Arabidopsis thaliana: one gene and its partners. The protein of the gene in region 1 interacts with the protein of each later gene in a pairwise test. Each region holds a gene or a part of one and is shown on either strand. Other genes may lie near its edges.

Region 1 (4,484 bases):
TAGACAATGTGCTTCAGAACTCATCCCCTGATTATTTACCTTTCGAGTTCAGGGCTCTTGAAGTTGCACTTGAAGCTGCTTGTACCTTCCTTGATTCCCAGGTCAGTGATTGATTCACAACTTATTGTTATTTAGTATGCTCAGCATTGAGAATAGATTTTCCCTTTGTAGGCTTCAGAGTTAGAGATTGAGGCATACCCATTATTGGATGAGCTTACCTCAAAGATCAGTACTCTAAACTTGGAGCGTGCTCGTAGACTAAAGAGCAGACTTGTAGCATTGACGAGACGAGTTCAGAAGGTTCGGGATGAGATTGAACAGCTAATGGACGATGATGGGGATATGGCAGAAATGTATCTAACAGAGAAGAAGAAGAGAATGGAAGGATCTTTATATGGTGATCAATCTTTACCTGTTTATCGAACAAATGATTGTTTTTCTCTGTCTGCGCCAGTTTCTCCTGTTTCTTCTCCTCCTGAGTCCCGTAGACTTGAGAAAAGCTTGAGCATTGTAAGGAGCCGGCATGACAGTGCTAGGAGCTCAGAAGACGCAACCGAGAATATAGAGGAGCTAGAGATGTTGCTGGAAGCATACTTTGTTGTCATTGACAGCACTCTCAACAAGCTAACCTCGGTAACTAAAAACCTCGCCTTTGTGATCATTCATCATCTTGTTTTAACAGCTTTTAAAAGCGGTTTAATCACCTGCAACTCTCTTTACTCTTCAGTTAAAGGAGTACATCGATGATACCGAAGATTTCATCAACATTCAATTGGTATACCTTGAAATCTTGATCTTTTTTAGATATCTTATTTGCTTAGAAAACCTTAAGAATCTGCTGAAAATTTCTGGAATTTGCAGGATAACGTACGGAATCAGCTGATCCAATTCGAGCTGCTGCTAACTACTGCCACATTCGTTGTAGCCATCTTCGGGGTTGTAGCCGGGATCTTTGGGATGAATTTTGAGATAGACTTCTTTGAAAAGCCTGGTGCTTTCAAATGGGTTTTAGCCATTACTGGAGTGTGTGGCCTTGTTGTATTTTTGGCATTCCTCTGGTACTACAAACGTAGAAGACTCATGCCTCTGTGAAGACATAACTACCCTGACACGTAGACGATTGTTTTACTGTTTATGTTGCTTAAATCTATACATTAATCGCCTGTGACCTTTACAAGATAAAACCCCGTGTATTTTTTTTTTGGGTTACTGAAAGATTATTAAGCAAACCATACCAGACTCATCTTGATCTTTCACTTTATGGATTGTCCTAGTCGAAACTCACAGCTCACACAACAGTATCGTAAAGGATGAATCCTTTAACTTATCGCAAATTTACATATCTTCGATAAAGAAACCTAAGTGTAGAGTGTAAAGATACATATCTGAACTGAACCACACTCTAGAACAGACATGGCTGAGTTTATAGACATGGAAACGATGATGTATGGATCCATTCACAAAATGTAGTTGACTAGAGTCTCCATCCAAGTGGGGGGAGATGACTACTTATCCGAGGATGAAGATGATGAGAGACGAGCTTTTCGAGCTTTATCAGCTTTTTCCAAGTAATCTTGGTGAGAACGATGCTTTGATCCTGAAACAAACCAGATTTACCAAACAACAAAAGCCAATAAGAGAAACAATTAGCCTATATAATGAACAAAACAAGGAGAATATTACCAAATGTCACATATAGCAAATAAGATATTTAACCATTGAGATTATGCAATTGAATCGATGTGTGATCATCAGGGGAAAAAGCAAACAAACTTGGTAAAAAATGTGATCATGCAAGTCTATTATGATCCAAACAGAATAAACATTGTGACTCATCATTATCATATAATCAAACTCTATTTGATCGACCACTTGATTGCATTTGCCAAGAAATATAAAGTTAGAAACTTTAGATTCTAAATCTTTCAGCTATTGATATCATCATCCTCTTCCATTTCGGAATCTACAGAGAAACATCTATTTATATATTTCAATCTAAATCGCCCAGAGAAAACGAACCTTGATTCATTAGATACCAAGGGATTCCGAAGATGATGGAGATAATCCCGATCCCAGCCAAAACGTGCTTCTTCTCCCCACTGTAGACATAGTGCTCCATCTTTGCCCTAATTCCTCCTCCTCCCAAATTGCTCTTGCTCTCATTTCCCATCTCGATCTCCACAGGTTTTGCTTCTTCTTCTTCTTCTTCTTCTTCTTCTTCTTCTTCTTCTTCTTCTTCTAGGGTTTATCAGGAATTAGATCCCTCTCTCTCTCGGATCTTTTAAAGAAATCTAAAATGGGCCCTATTTAGGCCCATTCATATTAGTGTTACTTTGTTTATTACCATATTAGACCCCATATTATCTATATATTCGTTTTTGACCCCATTAACTTCATATCCTCATCCCATTAAGACCATGTTTGAAATGTATTAATTTAAGCCTTCTCACTCACTCGCTATGGCCGCGATCGTTGCCATTGGTAGGAAACTCGCGCGAACGCCACAATGGCGGATTGTTCAGCATCAATCTCTGCTACGTCGTGCAGTGTCGACGTCGTTTTCGAGCTCAGTTTCCCAAAATCATTCCTTCTCTTCAGCATTTCATCGAGCAGGTCATGTGCATTCTCAAGTTTTAAGCTATCTCCCACATTTTGCCTCTTCTAATCGCTTCTCCACCAAAACCATCTCCGAAACATTTGATATCAACTTAACAGCATTGGCTCCGTTAGAAAAGGGTCTGATTGATTTAATCAGACAGGTCTCTGAGCTGGAGTCAGAGGCGGATGCCATGGCTTCTCTGGAGGACTCATCATTTGATCTAAATCATGATTCTTTCTACTCCTTAATCTGGGAATTAAGAGATGAATGGAGGCTTGCCTTTCTAGCATTCAAATGGGGAGAGAAACGCGGCTGTGATGATCAGAAATCTTGTGATTTGATGATCTGGGTGTTGGGTAATCATCAAAAGTTCAACATTGCTTGGTGTTTGATCCGTGATATGTTTAATGTTTCAAAGGATACTAGAAAGGCCATGTTTCTCATGATGGACAGGTTCGGTTTCGTCTTCTTGATAAAAGTTTCTCTTTTGTTGTGCTAAATTGAAAGATTTACTAGCTAGGTATTGAATTGGTTGTCTTGGTGACGGTGTTGATGTAGATATGCTGCTGCTAATGATACTAGCCAAGCTATTCGGACATTTGATATTATGGATAAGTTTAAACACACTCCTTATGATGAAGCATTTCAAGGATTGCTATGTGCATTGTGTAGACATGGCCACATTGAAAAAGCTGAAGAGTTCATGCTTGCAAGCAAAAAGCTCTTTCCGGTGGATGTTGAGGGATTCAACGTAATTCTTAATGGTTGGTGTAACATTTGGACTGATGTGACTGAAGCAAAGAGGATTTGGCGAGAGATGGGGAATTACTGTATCACGCCTAACAAGGACTCTTACAGTCACATGATCTCTTGCTTCTCTAAAGTTGGGAACCTTTTTGATTCTCTCAGGCTATACGATGAAATGAAGAAACGGGGATTGGCTCCAGGGATTGAAGTTTACAATTCCTTGGTTTATGTGTTGACCCGTGAGGATTGCTTTGATGAAGCTATGAAGCTTATGAAAAAGTTGAACGAGGAAGGATTAAAGCCAGATTCAGTGACCTACAACTCGATGATACGCCCCCTTTGTGAGGCTGGAAAGCTGGACGTAGCCAGGAATGTATTGGCAACCATGATTAGTGAGAACCTTAGTCCAACAGTTGATACATTTCATGCATTCCTTGAGGCTGTAAATTTCGAGAAAACTTTAGAGGTTTTAGGCCAAATGAAGATCTCTGATTTAGGTCCTACAGAAGAGACCTTTCTTCTTATTCTTGGAAAATTGTTCAAGGGAAAGCAACCAGAAAATGCTTTGAAGATCTGGGCAGAAATGGATCGTTTTGAGATAGTGGCTAATCCTGCTCTTTACTTGGCTACAATACAGGGCCTTTTGTCATGTGGGTGGCTTGAAAAGGCCAGAGAGATCTATTCAGAGATGAAATCAAAGGGGTTCGTAGGAAATCCTATGCTCCAGAAACTTCTTGAGGAGCAAAAGGTGAAGGGGGTCAGAAAAAGCAAGAGGATGAATCTTCAAAAAGTTGGTTCTCAGGAAGGCTACAAGGGTCAACGATCAGTAGACAGAAAATAATCAGATAGGGGTAAGACTTGAAGTTTCTCATCAAACGATCACTGAAATAATGACTCAATTCTCAAACCTCACGGTCTCCACTCTTTCACTACATCCGCCGTGCAGTTTTCCAGGTAATCTTTTCGTCAGTTTACTAGATTTGCTGATCGCTACCTTTGCATATTCCTAATATCAATGAATCTGCAAAACTAATCATTTGCAGCCATGCTGATTCAGGAATCTCTCTCCGGATTACATGATAGACGTTAAAAACTAGTGTGATTCTTGATTGTTACACGTCCACGCATCGCTGCACGT
Region 2 (5,040 bases), on another chromosome or scaffold:
CAGCTCTGAGCATCCATTAACCAAAATTTTCTGTAAACAGGGAAATGGCAGGGGACCCCGGTGGATGTGTTTTAGCATCTGAACATTTTCTAGCCGCAACTCTTTTAGTTCTTGGAAGGGAATAAGGTTTTGCTGCTCAGCTTTCTCTTTGTTTATTACTTCTTTCAGGTCACTCGCTGAAATTACTCGTAGAACCGTAAGATTTGGAGCAAAGATCAGCCACGTCAAATCCCGCAATCTTGTGCAGAATTCTAAAGACACTTGCGAGAGGTTTGGGAAGAATGTGGTAGTGGTTGGGATGTGCAGAGGCAAAACCGTCTCATTCCTCTTTACCTTGATCTCCCAAATGTCAGAGTCTGCAAAATGAAGCTCTTGAAGACTGTCCATAGTAGCAACAAATGAGATTACAGATGATTGCGGATTAAGATTCTCGATGCGCAGAGCTCGTGTACAGCTTGCCAACCTCTGGTTGCTAAGGAATTGTTCCAAAATAGAAGCAAGACCAAGAGTTATGGTTAAAGTTTGCAAGTTTTCCAAAAGCTGCAACTCGTTCAAAACACAGGGATCTTCAGGGAAACCGGAAACAAATAATCTCAACACTTTCAAACTTGTTAAACCTGATATGCCACAGATACTCTCTACCATCCTTGTGTACTCCAAATTCAGGTATAAAAGTTTCCTCAACTCTACTAAACCAGCAGGCCAAATCCTTATCCTTGTACGTGATAAGCTCAGATACTGCAATGAGACACATTCTGATATTTCATTTGGCAAATGTCTGAGATCCCTGTTCATTGATAGATCAAGAACAACTAGCATTGGCATCAACCGAAAGAAGCTGCTTGAGATATGCCCCAAGAAGTTCTTTCGGAGGAGCAAAGTTATAAGTTGGGGAGATTCAGGAGCATCACGTATACTTTCAATGTTGTTAAACATCAATGACACCCTTCTCGCAACTTTCCACTTCTCGATCTCAGGTATGTTCCTCGACTGTAAGCCCGCTTGCACTATAAAGTTTTCTTTTTGCTTTCCAAAATCAGATGCTATCCACAATGCCATTTCTCGGACCACATCATGCATCTTCACCGTTTCTTGATTCTCCTCCATCAATAAGCATGAACGAACTAGAATACCGATAATTTCATAACCTTGGTTCTCAGCTTTACCTTTGTTTCTATCTATGAATCCCTCACCTATCCAGTAATCTACCAAATCATTTTTCTCAATGTTATGATCTTCTGGAAACAAAGCACAGTACTGGAAGCACAATTTGAGCTGTTCACTTTTTAAATTATCATAGCTGTACTTTAGAATAGGTAGAATCTCATCTTCCATACCTGAAAACTCAGCTGCAGATGAAGTCAAAACGTCGATTGCTGAACGCCATTCTTGCACTGTCCTTTTATATGCCATTGTTTCACCAATGACGTTAAGGGCCAATGGTAGGCCGCGACATTTCTTAGCAACTGTTCTTGCGACTGTGGGAATCTCAGGGTGGCTCCCTAATGTGATCTCTCCTACTTTCTTAGTAAACAAATCCCACGCATCATCCGGGGCTAAACACCGGACTTCCATATCGCTATCAACTCCCATCCGCCCGCAGATTTCTTTCAACCGAGTGGTGAATACTATTTTGCATCCGTTTTCTCTACTCGGAAACGGAACTCCCACCTCTGTTAAATCCACTTTACTCCATATGTCATCCAATAACAAGACAAACCTTTTGTGCTTTAACACATTGTAAATGTTAGATGCTTTTATGTCCTCTGTTTTCTGTTTCCACTTCTCGTTATCAGACCGTAACTTCTCCCATATCTCATCTTGGATCCTCTGGATCTGTAACTCTTTGGAGACCACAATCCAAATCACAATATCAAACTCGCCCCCAACTCTAGAGAATCTATTGTTGATATGACTGAGAAGTGTAGTTTTACCTACTCCACCCATACCATGAAGACCAAGAATCCCAATCTCATCTTCCATTAGACGGTTCCACGCACTCTCAAGCATTGGATCCATAGCAACCATAGGTCTAGTAGGCCTCTCTTCCACTCTTGCTGCATCAACTCTCTCAGCCACCACAGCGAAATCTCCCTGATATCGAAGAACCTCAACTTCCTCTATCATCTTCATTACTCTCTTCCCATAACGGTAGCTTGAGACAAGATTCTTGGAACAAAACCCACAAAGACACAACCTTTGGACTTGAACAGATCTCATTCTGACGAGTTCGTTAACTCGAGGTACTATTGCTTCAACTTTTGAAACCCATCCTTGCACAACAGAAAGTCGTTGTAAACCTCGTCTTTCTTCAGACAAAATCTTTCTCAACAAATCTTCTCGTCTTTGCTCAATCTGCTCAAGAGCTCTCTGCAGAGCTGTCAGATTCTCCTCTAAGCCATGAATGTAATCTCCATTCCTGTTTAAGCAACTACAAACATTCTTCGTCAACTGATCACATGATATTGATACAGAGACACAACCTCCCATCCTGCGTTTACACAAAAGAAGAAGTAAACTTGTGGCAGAGAACTAGAAGAAGAAAAAGGATAAGAGCTGCTGAGTTGTGAAAATTGACAATAATCCAAACTCTAAAGTCGTCGCTATTGTAAACTTTAAACAATATTCTGAAAAGAGAAATTTCTACGAAAAAAGACTAAAAGAGTATCATTTCAGAAAGATAACTTTTTTTCAACGCAAATAACTCTTTAATAAATATTGACTGAGGTTTGATTGAAAGAGATAAAAACTTCATTTGCCAGCAAGATTGGCACAAAACTCGAGCAGAGGACATCTGTAGGAGTTGTGTCGTGGTCGTCTTTGGTTAAGAGAAGAAGAAATGGGTTCAATGTTCAGTGGAAACCGAATGAGCAAGGAAGAGATGGAGGTGGTGGTGAACAAGGCTAAAGAGATCGTCTCTGCTTATCCCGTTGTTGTCTTCAGGTTTGTTCTCGTTGAAATCTCCCATCTTTTTCATCTGGGTATTACTCTTTTCGTTCGTGATTATGAATTTGTTGAGAAAATTGGATGTTGTTGCCTTGAGGGGTTTTGAATTAGTCAAAAAGTTTGAGTCTTTACCATCAGGGGGTAGAGTCTGCTTCTATTTGACGCAGAGGCACCAATGGATCATTGTCTGCTTGTTTTGTTGTTTCCATCTGTGAAATTAGGTCGTGAATGAAAGATCGAACATCATCTTATATTAGTGATTCTCCATCCAATTCAGAGATTATTTGTGGGTTCCCTAGACGATTAGGGATGTGATCATGTAATATATACTGATAGATCCAGTTCTCAAATTTGATTCTGACTAGTCTAGAAATCTTTGAAGAAGCTAGAGTTTTTGAAGATTGATCCGTGCAAGCTCCTATGACTGATTTGGGGATGCCTTTCGGAGTTTTGAAATGAAGCTTAATTTGTTGTTGCTTAGAGTCTTGAGTTTGATTTTGCTTAGTCTTAAAAGGAACGTATTTCTTTCCACTTTTTGAGATGGTCTAAAGGTTACTTTTCAAATGTAATGTCTTAGCTCTGATCCATATTTTCTCTTTCGCAGCAAGACATACTGTGGTTATTGCCAGAGGGTGAAGCAGTTACTGACGCAGCTAGGAGCAACTTTTAAAGTACTTGAGCTCGATGAAATGAGTATGAAACCAAATCCCTGTCAATACCTGTATATTAATATATCTCAATGAACCTGAATTATCTCGATGCTATGTTTACTTCAGGTGATGGAGGTGAGATCCAATCAGCTTTATCAGAGTGGACTGGACAGACCACAGTTCCAAACGTCTTCATCAAAGGAAACCACATCGGTGGATGCGATAGTAAGTGAAAAACCTACACAAATTCTCTGCACAATAATGGAAATTCGGGTTGCCGGAAAAACTAACTGCGTTTTTCGTGTTGCTTCTATATTTTGCAGGAGTGATGGAGACCAACAAGCAAGGCAAGCTTGTGCCTCTACTTACTGAAGCTGGGGCTATTGCAGATAACTCTTCTCAACTTTGATGAAACTCGAAACTAGTGTGTGAAGAGTGTGTGTTGTGTTTAGATCATGAAAAAAGAGGTATCGTCACATACTCAATAAAGAAAGATCATTCCCGTTGTTTAATACAGAATATCTAAGTGTATACTTTTCATGTTGGTGTTTCGGTTAATGGAATAAAACTTGAGAAATCTGCTCTAGTTTCTTGCTCTAAATTACTGAAGATTACTGGTTGCATCCCAAGTTGACTTTGTAGCAGGCCGGTCAAGTAGGTGGATTAAGGCTTTTGGTTGAACCAAACTTATCTAGTAACCGGCCGTGTAGGTGCCTTAAAGGCTGAAAAACTAATATTAGCCAAATCGATCAACGGAAAGTTACGATTGAAAGAGAAATGAATATTCGAACAGCAGAAGTGCATTTTCACTGATTTGTGTAATCCAAATTCGGATTCGAACAGCACAAGTACATTTTTCACTGATTTGTGTAATCCAAATTCGGAGAACCAATGTCCAATGGCAATGAATAATGTCAATTTGGTTAATCTAGATTTATTATAAAGTATAGTGCAAAATCGTAGTTTAAGAGAACTTGTGGGGTCAATTAGTAAATATTATCTAGAGCCGGTTAAAGAAGAGAAACTGAGGAAACTGAATTTGACCAGAGAGTGTGTTCAAGCGAAGCGTTGTAGAAGAAAAGACAAAGTTTTGGAATAAGCGGAGCAAAACCTAGACAGGCCCGTGTAAGATGGAGATTTGTTTTAAAGATTTATCAAATCAATAACTACTAACCTAAGCAAGTAACGAAGCCGTGGCTCTCACAAATTAGCCCAAATCCTCAAATTTCACCAAAAGTCTTCGAATTTATTCTCCAGTATCAGTTTCTCTGGGAAAAAGTTCTACTTTTGCGGACTCTGAGGAAATCTTTTGTATCTGTACACCATTCATGGGTTAATCCGATTAAACCCGTGTTGCTCCGTTAGGGTTTAAGAGAATTGCCGCCTTCACCGGCCATGGCTGCTAAACTTGTGTCCTCCTCGGCTTCTTCTTTGGTTCCATCCA
Region 3 (8,805 bases), about 27 Mb from region 1:
TCATGTGGATGAAGTAATGGATGCAGATGAAGTTTTTTGCACCGGAACTGCTGTAGTAGTTGCTCCCGTGGGCACTATCACATATCAGGAAAAAAGGTAAATCTCAATGCCTGAATCAAGTTTTACTCAAGCCTTAAGCAAAGAAATGGACTGATGTAATCTTTCTGAAACATTCAGAGTAGAGTATAAAACCGGGGATGAATCTGTCTGCCAGAAACTGCGTTCAGTCCTCGTAGGTATCCAGACAGGATTGATTGAAGATAACAAGGGATGGGTCACAGATATCAACTGAAGAATAACAATCTTCAATATTTTGCCACAAAGGAGATTACTCTGCATTTTAAGCTGTGTATACACGACAATGAAGAACACTATAAACATATATATGAGATAGAAACAGAAAGCTCTTTTGCTCATTTCTATATCGTAAAGTCAATGTCTTTCACAAAACTATGACAAAGAAAAGAATCGTCTATTGTACTTGTAGACAAGTGTTTCCAAGGATAGTTTCATTTCCTCCTGCAGTAACTCCAAATTTACATTTCATTTTAGGAGGCAAAACTGTATATACGTTTCAATGGCTTTCCCCACTTCTTACTTTCATCACCCATAAGGGTTTCAACTACTAAAATTGTAACTCAACTGCAAAAACACCTTTTCATCTGCAGAGTTATAAAGTATACATTGTAACTCAAGTATCTATGTTCGTTTGTAGATCTCGGCAAACCCTGGGGAATTACGAATTGGGGAAGCACTGGGACAGGATTTCACCTCAAGATCAAGACCAGATTTACTTCTCTGGAACTCCCATATGTAATCAGCTTTAAGATTCTCTTTCTCAGGCTTCAACTCTTCAGAATCTGGTAACTCCTGATCTGAGCAAGGAGAAGTGCAACCAGCTTTGCTGGATTCTTCAGAACACGTTGGTATCTGAGAGTATGCAACTTTCAAGTTGTTATGTATCTCTTCCATCTTTCCTGTCATCTCATCTGCTCTGTCCATAGCGATAAGAATCTGAAAGAAACTCATACATCAATATCTCTCAGGAGATGCAAATCGAGGTTATGAAAAGATGAGTAATATATATATATATGTATATATACCTCGGCTGGATATTTCTGGAATATGGGCGCAAACCTTTGCCGGCAATACTCACTAAATAGAAGAGTGAGAAGGATTAACGGGATGGTGAAACCTGAAGCAACCGTTGATAGCTTTAACCCGAAAAAGCCTAGAGCTATAACTTGCGACAAGATCAGTGAAAAGATTGTAGTGTTGTGAAAAACAGGCCAATATTGTCCACCGCTTTCATACTTTGTAATATAGACGTTGATTATCTGCAAAAAAAAAAAAAAAGACAAACTTAGTCAGATCCAAATAATTGTACTTCAAACTCACAGACTTGTCTACCTATGGCACCACTATTAGTCGATTAGCACAAATACATTAATCATATTTCCAGAAGCAAGCACTCAACGAATGCAGGGACAATCAGACAACACCTTATGCAGTTCTCAAAGTTATAAGGTAAAGCTTCAGATAGATCATGAGAACAGCTGGTAACTTAATGCAAGGTCTCGACGACAATGTTTCAGTACAGAGTTCTTGGAATTTAGTTACAAATCTTTCAAGAAAATAAAATAATACTCTTTCATGCTTCTGAATCAGGTTTCATATCAAATTGTGAAAAAGTCCAAAAACATTTGATCATGGATATAGGTGTCTATGTCACAATTTCTTGAAGTGCTTATTGGCAACTACAAAATGAGGTCTATGTAGAAGAGATCAGAGCAGATATGCACGTACCTGATTTTTGTATATAAGATATGCGAAGAAAAAGTAGATCAGCAGAAACGGCAGTATCAGAGGCGCTATGACTGAATTGGTGAAACCCAGGAGCCCGAACAAAAGTAGTCTTGGAATTTCTGTATGGTAGGGAAACCTAAGTGTTTCATATGACTCCTCCTTGTTCTTAACAATAACTTTTGCAATCAGATTCCAAATAAGACCTACAGGTTGCATGATTTCACATGCCAAACCGGCCCAACCAGACGTGAAACAATAGGTCATGAAGAAGCCAGCCTGCATGTAGTCAATGAATAATTTCATACCGTTAGCCTTATAGAAAATAACAAAATTGAATATAGTCACACGTGTGAAAGGAACACTGAAAATTACCTGTGCTGGAACAAGTTTCGCAAGTTGTGCAGGTACGTCCCTCACACTATTCAAGACGGTAAACTGCCTGATAACAGAGCCTGATAGAATATTGACGAAGAACACATTCCAGATGGTGAAGTATAAAATTTTGAGACATGCACTTTTTTTTCTTTGACTCCGAGAAACACATCCCTCCAAGGTTGAAAAGTACATCATCAATGGCGGAACGGTATAAAAGAATAGAACCAAAATCACACTTGGTAAATACCCTGTGATGACCTGCTCCATAAACCTCCTGCAATGTTTTTCAAAGGGATAATTAAATTGAAAGGAAATGAAAAGAAATCAATTACACAGAATTTAATTGTTCTCAGTTTTTTACTGCGCTTAAATCTAGAAAAATCTAGCATAAATATATCAACTGCCTAGCAGCCTCCGACTATACGCATCTTGAAATTCTCTAAAAGCAACGTAGCTACACCTACTCTTTAGTGCCAACTCTATGTCATCTTAAGAAGAATACGAACAAAACCTTCTATTACTGAGTACAAGAAGGAAATGCTGACCTGTTCAAGAGGTCTTTTAGAAAAGGAAAATTCTTGGATAACGTTGGTAGTTGAGTCAGCCCTTGAACAAAGGTAACAGGAAAAAGAAACACAAACATGAAGGCAATTGCACCAACAAGGGTTGCTATTCTTCGCATCCAAAGCTGCCGATAAGGTATTCTGAGATTTCTCCAGTGAACATCATGAGGCTCTGGAGCCAAGTCTGCCACCCATAACATAGGATTTGGTGTTTGAAGAACTTCTGAAACAACAAGAGCATCATAACGACTCTTGAAAAACACAAAAGCAACGGGACGTTCCTGCAAATGAGCAGAAAAGTGTAAGCCTTGCATACATATTTCAGGCGCTGATACTTCATTAAGCAATGTTTACAAATGCAGTCATGAATGGAGATATATTCCTTTTAGATCTAGCTTTTAAAGGTTTTAAACAAAAAGCTCTTTGTATCACTAATTCAAGGTCCATTAACGTCTCATTGTAGTATTTTTTGGGTTCCCCTAAGTCTCAGTGTTACCTCTAAAGCTCAATTTGTATCTCAGTAAAGAACAAAAGAGTCAATTCTCCAGTTTCAGCTGTAAAACTGTGAAGACATGCAACAGGTAAAACCCCACACTATGCCTATATCATGTACAGCACAAAGTTCACCTATCAAAGTGAAAATAATTCCTTACTTCCTCTGTCGTAGTCAAAGTCAACTCACCAAGCTCCAATCCTTTGACACTGTCTGTCTCGTTCGAGATGATTTGAAAAGAATTTGTGGCTGCAGGTCCACAAAGGACGCATGACTTCAAACTCGGATTACAACTTAAATCAGGAGAAACATGTTTTATAGCCTGACACATCCTCTCCGTCTCATTCTAAAATAGAAAGTGACACAATTAATATTAGAATCTAATTAACTCAATTGTTCTCCAAAATAGACCACTGCACTTCAACTATATGTTATCATGAGCACACACCATCCACTAGTTGTTTACCAAAGATATTGCCATTCAAAATGCTGATCAGATAACCAAAGCAAAAAACTGATGTAATATCAAAAGAACCTCAATATCAGATAACATGAACTACAAATAAAAGCGTTACAAATGAGCCAAAAACAAAATCAGTACTCCAAGAATGTGGATCAATCATATAATCCCCTTAGAACTTCCTATATCTTTAACTGATACATGACTATCAATCAAATCTTTACAACAAAGTTACTGTTCTGTTATTTCATCAATCTTTGATGCCCTTGGCAAATGAAGAAGCATTTATGACAGAACACAGGGGAAGTGTTATGGTGAACATTTTATAAAGAAAGAAGAAACATGTAAAGTGTGAAAAGTGTTAAATCACATTCCGGAACATAGAGCTATCACAGCTTCCTTTTTCTATTCTAGGAGATTCCTATTCTGCTAAGGTCAACCAAGCAGAGCGGCAGTGGTGTTAGCTGAAAAATTTATTCCTAATCCGACAAAATCATAACAAAAAGACAAGTGACTGATAATCAAGTCAGCATGTTGCAAAAATAAATAAAAACACATACCATCAGTCTGTGAATGAAGCCATCACGGTAGACCATTAGGTGCGACACATAGCTTGGTGCATAGTAATTTGTAAAGTATTTGCTCACTGTCTCGCTGTAGGACTGGTCAGGAGACTGAGGAATAGCACGAATAAGAACAGTAAAATGACTTGGCTTTGAGGCAGATCCACTAATATGGGCAAGCCTCTTTTTGGCTATGTTCTTATACTCCTACAGTGGTGAAACACGTATAAACAGGGTGAGAGAGAGAGACGAGAGACCAAAACGATGAGGAAGTGATGGAATAAAGAGAAACAGTAAGCGTGAAATGAACCAAGGTATAAGATCCTCACAAAGTAAAGAAGAGCACATGCTGCAGAGGATATGATGTACAATGAGAGACAATGAACCCAGAGCCTGGAAATAAAAATAGTAAAACAAGGATCAGCACTTCATTGTACAAAATACTGGCAATCTATCTTCTCCTGCACAGAGAAACATAATCAGATAGAAAAACAGGCTATGCATATTATCTGATAATATTAATATTATATGCCGCCACTTTACCATCGTGAGCGTGGATTAAGGTTCTCAATTGTGAATACTCCCAATGACTCCAAATGGACTTCCTTGTGCTCCATCTTTTGTCCATAATAGTTAACAGGTAACACAAAGGCAAGGCAAACGACTGCGACGATTGAGAAAATACGAATGCTGCAGAGTTTAAAAAAAACACGATAACCCAACTGTGAGAGTTGTTAAGAACGAAACACACAAATACCACATAGAAATAAAACAAGTGCTGGAACATAGAAACAGTAGAAAATACCATGCTTGTCTATTCAATTACAGTAAGCATGTTATAGGTGAAGTATCATTAACCTGCAAATGACCATCCTGATGAAAACCACAGCATCCAGACCAGCAGCAGCCAACATCTCTTCCTCAGTGGTTTCCCAAGCTTTCACGAGCCAACTAGGAGAGGGCGCGAACCTCTCATACCAACGAGGATCATGACGTTTAACTCTTCCGTCAGAAAGCAATCGACCAAAGTAAACACAATAATTGGCTGGCTGCTTTCGTAGAATGGAATAAAGCGATACAAGCACTACGCATATCGCTATATTAATCCCAGCAGACGTTAAAAGTGCTGAGACATCCATCTCACTATCTCACTTTTAGTTCAAACCCTGCCTTAACAGGGTTGGCTAATCAAGCCCAGGCTGATGGCTGTTTAACAATTCACAGCAGAAACTTAGGTCGTCAAAAGATCTGTAAGGAAAAGCAAGAAATAATCTAGGATAAGAGATATGGCCATGAAGCATGTGGTAACATTGAAACATGAATTGTGGTTACTCTAACAAGTAAGGACTGATCTCAAAAGTTGCATAAGTAACGTACTTGCCACTTGATCAGTTGTAAAACAGCGATTACTTAGACAAGGGATGAAAAAACTAAAAACCTAAAACTTTCCATGTTCGGAACAACCAAAGATACGGGATCAAAATATAATCAACTCTTAAAAGTTGTGGCTGATGATAAGATAATGTAACTCAATCGTCATTTATGATTGAACTAAAACGACCCACGATTCCATAGAACCTAAGAAAACCAGAACACCAAAAACAGAGGAATCAAAGGATTTGATTCGCGAAGAGAACTCACTACGACAATGGAAACAAGAAAGCGAGCGAAACCAAAGCCCAGATTATGAAATTCGATCAAAATCGAAGAGGAGATTGAGGAGAATCAACAAACAACGAGATCGTAGATAATTCGAACAAAAAATTTACCCACAAAAGAAAAGACAAAACAATAATTTGAACAATTCTGACTTACATGGACGAGAAAAGGTAATGCTTTGCTTTGACTTGAAAGGAATCAAAGCACGAGAAAACCCGAAGAATCAAAAACCCTAAAAGTTCTTCCTTTTAACCCCAATTCCGCGGAGAATTCGCTCGCGTTCTAAACTTTGCAATATGCAAAAAATCCAACAAAATTAAAGAAAGATAATGATTGATTAGGTATACTGTATACACATTACATGTTATTATTTTGGTGAGGATATTTCTCTAGACGGAAAGATAACTGAAAAAAATCATTGGGCAAAATTCTCCACGTTGGTGTAAATGTGGAATCGCCAGATCATGTGACGTGGCATAACGTGAATGGCCCAAACTAATATCTCGTCGGCAAAGGTCTTTTTAGCCTGTGATAGTGACTACCTTGTCGGCGAAATTATGACCGTTAGATTTTTGTAAAGCGATACGATTGTGACACGTGGAATTAACATTGACAGTTAACAACAGTTTTTGCCCGGGAAAATTAAAAAAGGTCGCATATCTATTATCCGCGTGGTGAGAGTGTGAGACCTACCCCATAACAAGGACCGGTCATATTAAATTATGCCCATTTGACTATTCATTCTCTTTATTATGTATGACTATATAATAACTCGATTCTCTTTATTAGGTGTGACTATGAATTATGATACATGCTTTATGATGCGGTATGCATATAACTGGTTTAGCATCTTTACATAATTATCGGTTTGATATTCCCAACGGTCAGTATCTTTATTCAAAGCTCATAAGAAATAGGTAAAAGAGTGATAGGTTTCCTCTTTCCAGTTTATTTGTGAGATTACTTGCTTATAAAGCAAATAAGCCTCTCTGTATATTCATCAACAAGGACTAGTCTGCAATCACAAGTAAAAACAACGCTGCTCGAGGACGGAATCGCTGCCCCACGATGTGGTAGAGTGCATCCTAGAGAGACTTGCTGTGGATTCTCTGCTGAGATTCAAAGGCCGTGTCTAAACAATGGAAATCAATTATCGAATCTCCATTCTTCCAACAAAGACAGTTGACAGAGCGTCAGCAATCAGGTGATCCAGATGTTCTCATGGTCTCCATATGGCGTTCCCTTTGATAGCTGTGACGGTCTCGTTTGTCTCATGGTCTCCATATGGCGTGACGATTATTGTAAACCGGATATAAAACATCTAACTACACTGGTGTTGGGTTCCTCATCATCGGTCAAGATCCCTACTCCTTGGGAGAAGGCGAAGGAGGACACAATATACTTAGTTCCCTTTGATAGCTGTGACGGTCTCGTTTGTCTCTACGGAATACGACATATCTGGTTTTGGAAGCTTATATAACCTTCATTCATTTTTTTAATAGGTTTGGTTACACCACTCGAAGACTCGTGTAACACTTGATGACAGAGATTTCTCGGCCAACTTCTTCATTAATCAACTCATTAAGCTATATCGGCGAAAATAGAAAAAAAAAAAAAAAAAAAAAAAAAAAAAAACAATTCAAACAGATCCTGAGACATGGTTTGACACCAATTTATGGAGGGTCTTCAGACATTCACCAAATGATGCAGAAGCGAGGGTCTCTCTTGAGCAATTGTGTTCAGTACACACTTCACTTTCTCTGTTCCAAGCTTCTCCTCGAGCATTCTCCACAGTACTGGAATGCTCTGCTTATAAACGAATGCATATCAGAAATCAAAGTCAACCATATTTCTATCGTTCTGCTATACGGAAAACTCCCAATCTATTTTTCTGCACTTGTGAGATTGACAATAGTGGCAATTTTTTTGATGACTTTATTTGGACAAGAAGAGACCACTGTTACCTTTGTCAGCCATAGCGTGTAGACAGCAGCATGCAATGCTTGAGCTTGAAAATCTTCAAATTTGGTATCCGGAACGGTCATAGAAGAATCTAGAAGACGGATCTCATTATCAATGAAGATGGCAATTTCTTCATTCATAATAATACTCTCTCCGGTTTCAGGTGAAGCATCTGAATGATTGCAAGCGAAATACATTATCCAATTAAGAGAGAGGAACCGCCGGTGAAGCCATAGTGCCTGGAAGAAAAAAGTATAACAACTCAAATAAGTCACTAATTCAATCATCTCTGTATTAGCATGACAACAAACTGTTTAACTATCTTTGTTGTCCAAACCACTGTCGCCATGATAGCTTACCAAGAGAGAAATTATGTACTTTTTGCAAAATCCAACTTGGTTGTTTCTTTAATAGGGCAGTTTACAAAATTCAACTTGGTCAAACTCTTCTACCGGTCATGCGCATTGTAGAATATTTTAGACTTTTAGTACCTTTTACAACAATACAACACAGCTATCGGTGCTAGATCTTCATACCGTGCCCATCTCTACACTAATTAATTTTTCAAAATCAAAGATAATCATACCTCTCGTCCCACGTAACGTTCTACCAATTCTTCATTCCAATCCAGCTCTTCCTGTCATATAATTGTAGAGAAGTTTTAGGAGCCATTCTCATTTAGAGCACAAATGTACAAATAAGATTACTCGGGTTAGCAAGGAAGACAAAGCTTACCTTCCAGATTTTGCGTGCCTCAGTTTTATCATAAGCGCTGCTTCCTTTCACATAAAGTGACTCCAGAATCTTGAGCATCAGCCGCTGGACATTAATGAAAACAAATCAGTTGGGCTGGAAGGAAAACTTCACCAGATTCAATGGAGAATGATAGTTGTATCTTTTACTTCCAAGACCTAACATAACTTG
Region 4 (4,864 bases), on another chromosome or scaffold:
GTAAGATTTTAGGATATCTTCATTTTGAAACCATGGTTACATGACAAGTTTTGATAATCTTTTACCTTTCACGTTCTTTTCAGAGCAACGGTATCGGTGATCACTTATAACGGATATTTCCAGGAGTATACGCTAAGTATCAATAACAAGAATGAGTCTCTATGGACACTGGAACGTGAATTCAATCTCTTCTCCATAACCACCGGGTGATGTATACAACCAAATATCAAATATATGAAAGTACTGGGCAACTTTTTTGTATGTAACAATTTTTGTACCTTGGGTTCATTAAGAATATGTTTATAGTCTCATGTTCTTTGGTTATTCGCAAATATAATTAGCTCTTCCGTGCTATTACTGTATCTTAATCTTGATTTGTGTTGAAGAAATGAAATACAAAATGGTTTCCCAACTCTTTCCATCATATCCCACTTACTCCATAGTTACAGTCAAGGCTCTTTAGCTATGAATCAGAATTTTCAAGTCAGGATCATTTGTCGGTCTAATGGCTCACAAGTCATAACATCATCATAATCCAAAGAGCAAAAGTCTTTTATCTTATGAGAATTCACTGTATCCTACTCAAGACTATTAGTCTACTTCATCTTAACACATCCATTAAGTCAAAATAGTGTAAAGACAGGTACATTACAAAGTCAAGAGTATTTACCCATTGATTTGCATTTTGTATGTTTGAAGAAAGATTTGCTAATTGTGTTTGCTAAAGATGAATGTTTAAGACATTCATCGAGATCTTGTCTTAACGACTTGTCCTCTAGAAGCTTTTCTCTCCATCTTCTCCCTCTTTTTGCGAGTCTTCTCATCCTCAACACCTCCCTAAGTTCAGTCATATAGACAAAACACAGTCCATTTTAAATGATCATGTTTTATTTCCCCCTTGTTCAAAGCACTTTGAGAGTATTCAAGACAAAGTGATTACCTCTGAACCATGTGACAATAGTCCCTTAATAAGACCAGAAGCTTTGTATGCTCCAAATGCAGGGATCTAAAATAAAAACAAGCAAAAGTAAATGGTTGCATCATTCCTACAGAGCAAATCTGTTGTTTGCCTTAAAATATGGCAATAAAGAAAATTGAGATGGGTATCATACCACTAAATACGCGTACCAAAACTTTCCAGAGATGATAGATCCGACCTGCACAAAGCAGGTGATGTAGAGTACATCATGCAAATATCTGCAAGGAAGAATAGAGCATCAGGCTTATACTATAGAATCTACCATAAATCCAATCCACCATAAAGATGACGATTATGTAGCAACTGATAAACGATAAAACTCGGAGAAAGCCACAACTAGTAAAACATCACTCATTTCAAACAACTGATAATGAAACAGTCCTCCTACTATTGCTTTTGGTTATGGAAACAGAATCCAACTATACAGAAACACTTGAGACAAAAGCAGGCACTTTCTAGTTGATCAATTTAAAAGACAAATCTTTCCGAACGTACCCACACATTCCAGGAGTGCTCATGTCAAATCCACCATCAAGAAGTTCACCAGCATCACTAACACTAGGCTTTGCCATTTGATGAAGAAGCTTATATGGAATCCCGTAACCTAACGATGTTAACACAAGACCAATCCAATTTTTCCAGGTATGACTTGAATGCGAAATTATAACCCTCACTAGGACATACAAAATCTGCAAACACATATTGCCAAAAACATCAATCCTCGAATTCATCGAAACAAAATCAGCTAAACATTGAAACTTTCGAGACCTAAAGATCAAATTCAACGGATTTTTAGTTCCATATTGATACAAGTAACGTATCTAAACAAATCTAAGCTCAACGGATTAATGTATTGAGAATTTAAGAAATGAGGAACGAGGAAGTTACGTTGCAAAGGATCATAATGAGACGGAGCTTAGCCATGTGTCGAGCGTTCTCATCTTTCCTCTTCTTTGCTCCTTGATTCGCCATGAGTTAAAAGAGAATGATCAAAGAGACGAGGAAGATAGTTTTTTCAGTTTCTGTAATTCTTCTTTTGCTTTGGATCTTCACAAATGGTGTGAGAGAAAACTTTTAGGTGTCTAAGCTTGTTTAATCCAATTATATATTGACACCTGTACCTTTTTGTCGTCCTCTTTTCTCAAATACTTTTTTCACGCAGGAAATGTTTTGTTTGGCTGCGTGTCGTAATTACGCTTTTCCTTGGGTTTAGGACAAAGATTCTTAATTTGGGCTTTCGTCTATCCTTATCAGTTGTTGTTGGAAAACTGAAACAGTTCTATCTAAATGGGCCAGAACAACCTAAAAGGCCCATAAAATCTGACATCTTAAGGCCTATCAACAGAAAACTGCATTATTTCAGTTTTCCAATAACAAGGTCTGTGTGAAAATCACCGGCGCTCGGAGAAGACATCAACATAAAACCTTTTACCGCTGTTCCAAAAACTAAAAAGTATACCATTTCTATGATCAATCGGTAAAACGATATTTATAACGGAACAAGAACAAAAGTAGTGTAAATTTTTTTCCCTGTTTTATGTTGTTCTATAGACAAAAAAAAATGAAGATATCATATCTTGTGGGCCTATATCCAATATTTGAGTGTAGCCCATATTTGGATCAAACATCACGTCTTACACAATGGTTCTCGGATATCCCAATCTGAGTATGGTTTTAGGTCAATTCAACATAGTATTATTTTGTCAACAAGCACCATTATAGCAAAAACAAAGATGTATCAAAGAAAAGTAGCGTTAGGGGTTGGTCAGAAAAAGACATGTTTGCAGTGTAAGAAATGACGTGGACACGTGGAATCATACGCAATGCAACATGTCATCATTAAGGTCCATTGTTCAACTTACCCATTGAGAACAAAACTAGAAAAATTATAGACCGTTGGATCATCTTTAAGGACCATGTCTGATTCACGTATCTCTCTCCCACTTGGAATATGCTTAGCCTATGTATGGGACACATTCGCTAGGTCCACCAGTATCCTGTACGCAAACGCAACATCGAGAAGCTTCCGTTTCCAATATTCTATACTATAATTACAAATGTTAAAAATTGTTTATAAAATTTGTAATTTGACTTGTAGACATCATTAGGGTAAAGATATATCAAGAAATTACTTTTTTCATAGGAATAAAAATAGTCAACTCTCTTAAATAAGGGACAAATACAATCCTCTAATGACCTGGAAAACAACTATGCAATCAACATTAACAAATGTAATTAGAAGTACAACACAATCAATTTTGGTTAAAAAATTGAAAGTATATAAAAATAAAAAAATAAAAAACGTGTCTTAGTTGATAAATAACTCATTAATCACGCCTCTATCTCTCTGTTTTAAGAGTTTAACAGTTAAAGATCTTCTTCTCTATCTTCCTTATTTGACTACATCTCCGTTTATTCTTGGGTCTCTCTCTATCTCTCTTATCCAGATTTATCATCGTCATTACATATAAACATCAAACTTAACTTTTCAATATTCTCATTCACTTTTTCCTCTTGTGCTCTAATTCTTATCCGGATCCGATTTCTCTCATACAAAGATTCTGTTTTTCTTCTTGGGTTATTGTTCTTGCTCTGTTTCCGTATCTCAAAGTTTCAGCTGCTGAATTGAATTTGCATTGATCGTAGATGAGACCAATCATTAGGTTATCATCTCTCAGTAGAATTAGATGGGCTCTAAGGAACAATCAAGAACGTTATTCTTCAACTTTCTACTCCAAAAGCCGCAAACTTTTGATCGGTGTCAATCAAAATCAAGCTCTGCTGAATACAAACACTGATAATTCAAGTTTGTATTCAAGGTCAAGTATCTTTAGAGGCTTATCAGCAGAAGCAGTAGAAGCAGCTGATCCTGCTACTACTAGGGTCACCGTCTCAGGTTTTGTTTCTCTTTGCAAAGAAATTCTATCAATCTCAGAGTTCGTGTTTATTGGTTTGCTGATATTTGTTGAATGATGACAGATGTGAATAGAACAGGTCCTCTTGTTGAGTATGAGAGAAGAATCAGTAATGGTGAACTCATGACTGGTGATATCTGCCAAGTATGATAAAAATAATAGCCACTCTTTTTTACTTCATTGAAGCTTTTGAGCTATAAGATTAAATGTGATTCGTGTTACTTGCGGCTTAAGGTTGTGTTTGAAATGTTGTAGATTAGTGCATTGAGAGAGCTTCAGAGACTATATGATGAGCTTGTGGATTCAGTAGATACATGTCGTTTAGATCGGTATAATACTTCTGATAAATCCTCAAGGTGATTGTTCTGTTCTCTTAGCCTTGACACCTTTCCTTCTCTGTTTAGGATTGAGAACTTGAGTCTCACACAACTGTGTTTTTGTGTAATACAGAAGTCGTTGGTTTTGGTCTCGGCTCATGCCACAGACTTCTTACTCACCCGTCAAAGGATTATACCTTTATGGAGGTGTAGGTACAGGAAAAACCATGTTGATGGACTTATTCTTTGATCAACTGTAAGTTTGTATGATCAAATTCTTATCCTTTTTTTTCGAGCATTGCGGTTTCATGACAATTCTCTTGTTTCATTAGGCCTTGTACTTGGAAGAAGCAGAGGATACATTTCCATGATTTCATGTTGAGTGTTCATAGCCGCTTGCAAGTATGGATAATTGAGTTTCCATTGTTTCTCTATTGATTTTAGTAGGAAAAGCTTTAGCCTTTTGAGATACGTTGTTTGATTTCGGTTCATAATGTTTGCAGAAGCACAAGGGTTTATCAGATCCACTTGAAGTTGTTGCCCAAGAGATAGCTCATGATGCAATCTTACTATGTCTAGATGAGTTCATGGTATGTACACTATTTCATATATTTATTTTCTTGAAAGTGATCATCTTTGGATCAACACATCTT

Evidence for each region.
Region 2: the proteins of AT1G80890 (region 1) and GRXC1 interact in a protein complementation assay, tested with the Arabidopsis thaliana proteins (one large-scale study listed by BioGRID).
Region 3: the proteins of AT1G80890 (region 1) and AT1G10090 interact in a protein complementation assay, tested with the Arabidopsis thaliana proteins (one large-scale study listed by BioGRID).
Region 4: the proteins of AT1G80890 (region 1) and AT4G30500 interact in a protein complementation assay, tested with the Arabidopsis thaliana proteins (one large-scale study listed by BioGRID).

What each region holds. Positions count from the first base shown.
Region 1 is NC_003070.9:30,394,897-30,399,380, reverse strand, and holds AT1G80890 (GAG1At protein), read right to left. Parts: upstream 2,254-4,484; 5' UTR 2,171-2,253; coding exon 2,020-2,170; exon of another isoform or gene 1,598-2,019; coding exon 1,506-1,597; 3' UTR 1,171-1,505; downstream 1-1,170. Other genes in the region: MGT1 (magnesium transporter 1), read left to right, coding at 1-101, 172-633, 728-775, 862-1,092; AT1G80880 (Tetratricopeptide repeat (TPR)-like superfamily protein), read left to right, coding at 2,460-3,052, 3,158-4,187.
Region 2 is NC_003076.8:25,283,513-25,288,552, forward strand, and holds GRXC1 (Thioredoxin superfamily protein), read left to right. Parts: upstream 1-2,664; 5' UTR 2,665-2,839; coding exon 2,840-2,943; intron 2,944-3,550; coding exon 3,551-3,639; intron 3,640-3,722; coding exon 3,723-3,821; intron 3,822-3,919; coding exon 3,920-4,005; 3' UTR 4,006-4,182; downstream 4,183-5,040. Other genes in the region: AT5G63020 (Disease resistance protein (CC-NBS-LRR class) family), read right to left, coding at 1-2,490; AT5G63040 (uncharacterized protein), read left to right, coding at 4,992-5,040. UniProt on the Arabidopsis thaliana protein: Has a glutathione-disulfide oxidoreductase activity in the presence of NADPH and glutathione reductase. Reduces low molecular weight disulfides and proteins.
Region 3 is NC_003070.9:3,289,873-3,298,677, forward strand, and holds AT1G10090 (Early-responsive to dehydration stress protein (ERD4)), read right to left. Parts: upstream 6,327-8,805; 5' UTR 6,076-6,326; intron 5,509-6,075; 5' UTR 5,400-5,508; coding exon 5,119-5,399; intron 4,951-5,118; coding exon 4,804-4,950; intron 4,654-4,803; coding exon 4,590-4,653; intron 4,468-4,589; coding exon 4,258-4,467; intron 3,584-4,257; coding exon 3,398-3,583; intron 3,026-3,397; coding exon 2,727-3,025; intron 2,456-2,726; coding exon 2,179-2,455; intron 2,083-2,178; coding exon 1,807-2,082; intron 1,338-1,806; coding exon 1,104-1,337; intron 1,015-1,103; coding exon 700-1,014; 3' UTR 439-699; downstream 1-438. Other genes in the region: BCAT-2 (branched-chain amino acid transaminase 2), read left to right, coding at 1-96, 178-292; AT1G10095 (Protein prenylyltransferase superfamily protein), read right to left, coding at 7,606-7,725, 7,884-8,120, 8,468-8,518, 8,617-8,700. UniProt on the Arabidopsis thaliana protein: Acts as an osmosensitive calcium-permeable cation channel.
Region 4 is NC_003075.7:14,900,645-14,905,508, reverse strand, and holds AT4G30500 (transmembrane protein (DUF788)), read right to left. Parts: upstream 2,159-4,864; 5' UTR 1,952-2,158; coding exon 1,868-1,951; intron 1,669-1,867; coding exon 1,475-1,668; intron 1,198-1,474; coding exon 1,113-1,197; intron 1,007-1,112; coding exon 941-1,006; intron 838-940; coding exon 745-837; 3' UTR 501-744; downstream 1-500. Other genes in the region: ATG18B (autophagy 18 B-like protein), read left to right, coding at 84-210; AT4G30490 (AFG1-like ATPase family protein), read left to right, coding at 3,626-3,875, 3,959-4,038, 4,150-4,250, 4,345-4,467, 4,544-4,613, 4,715-4,801.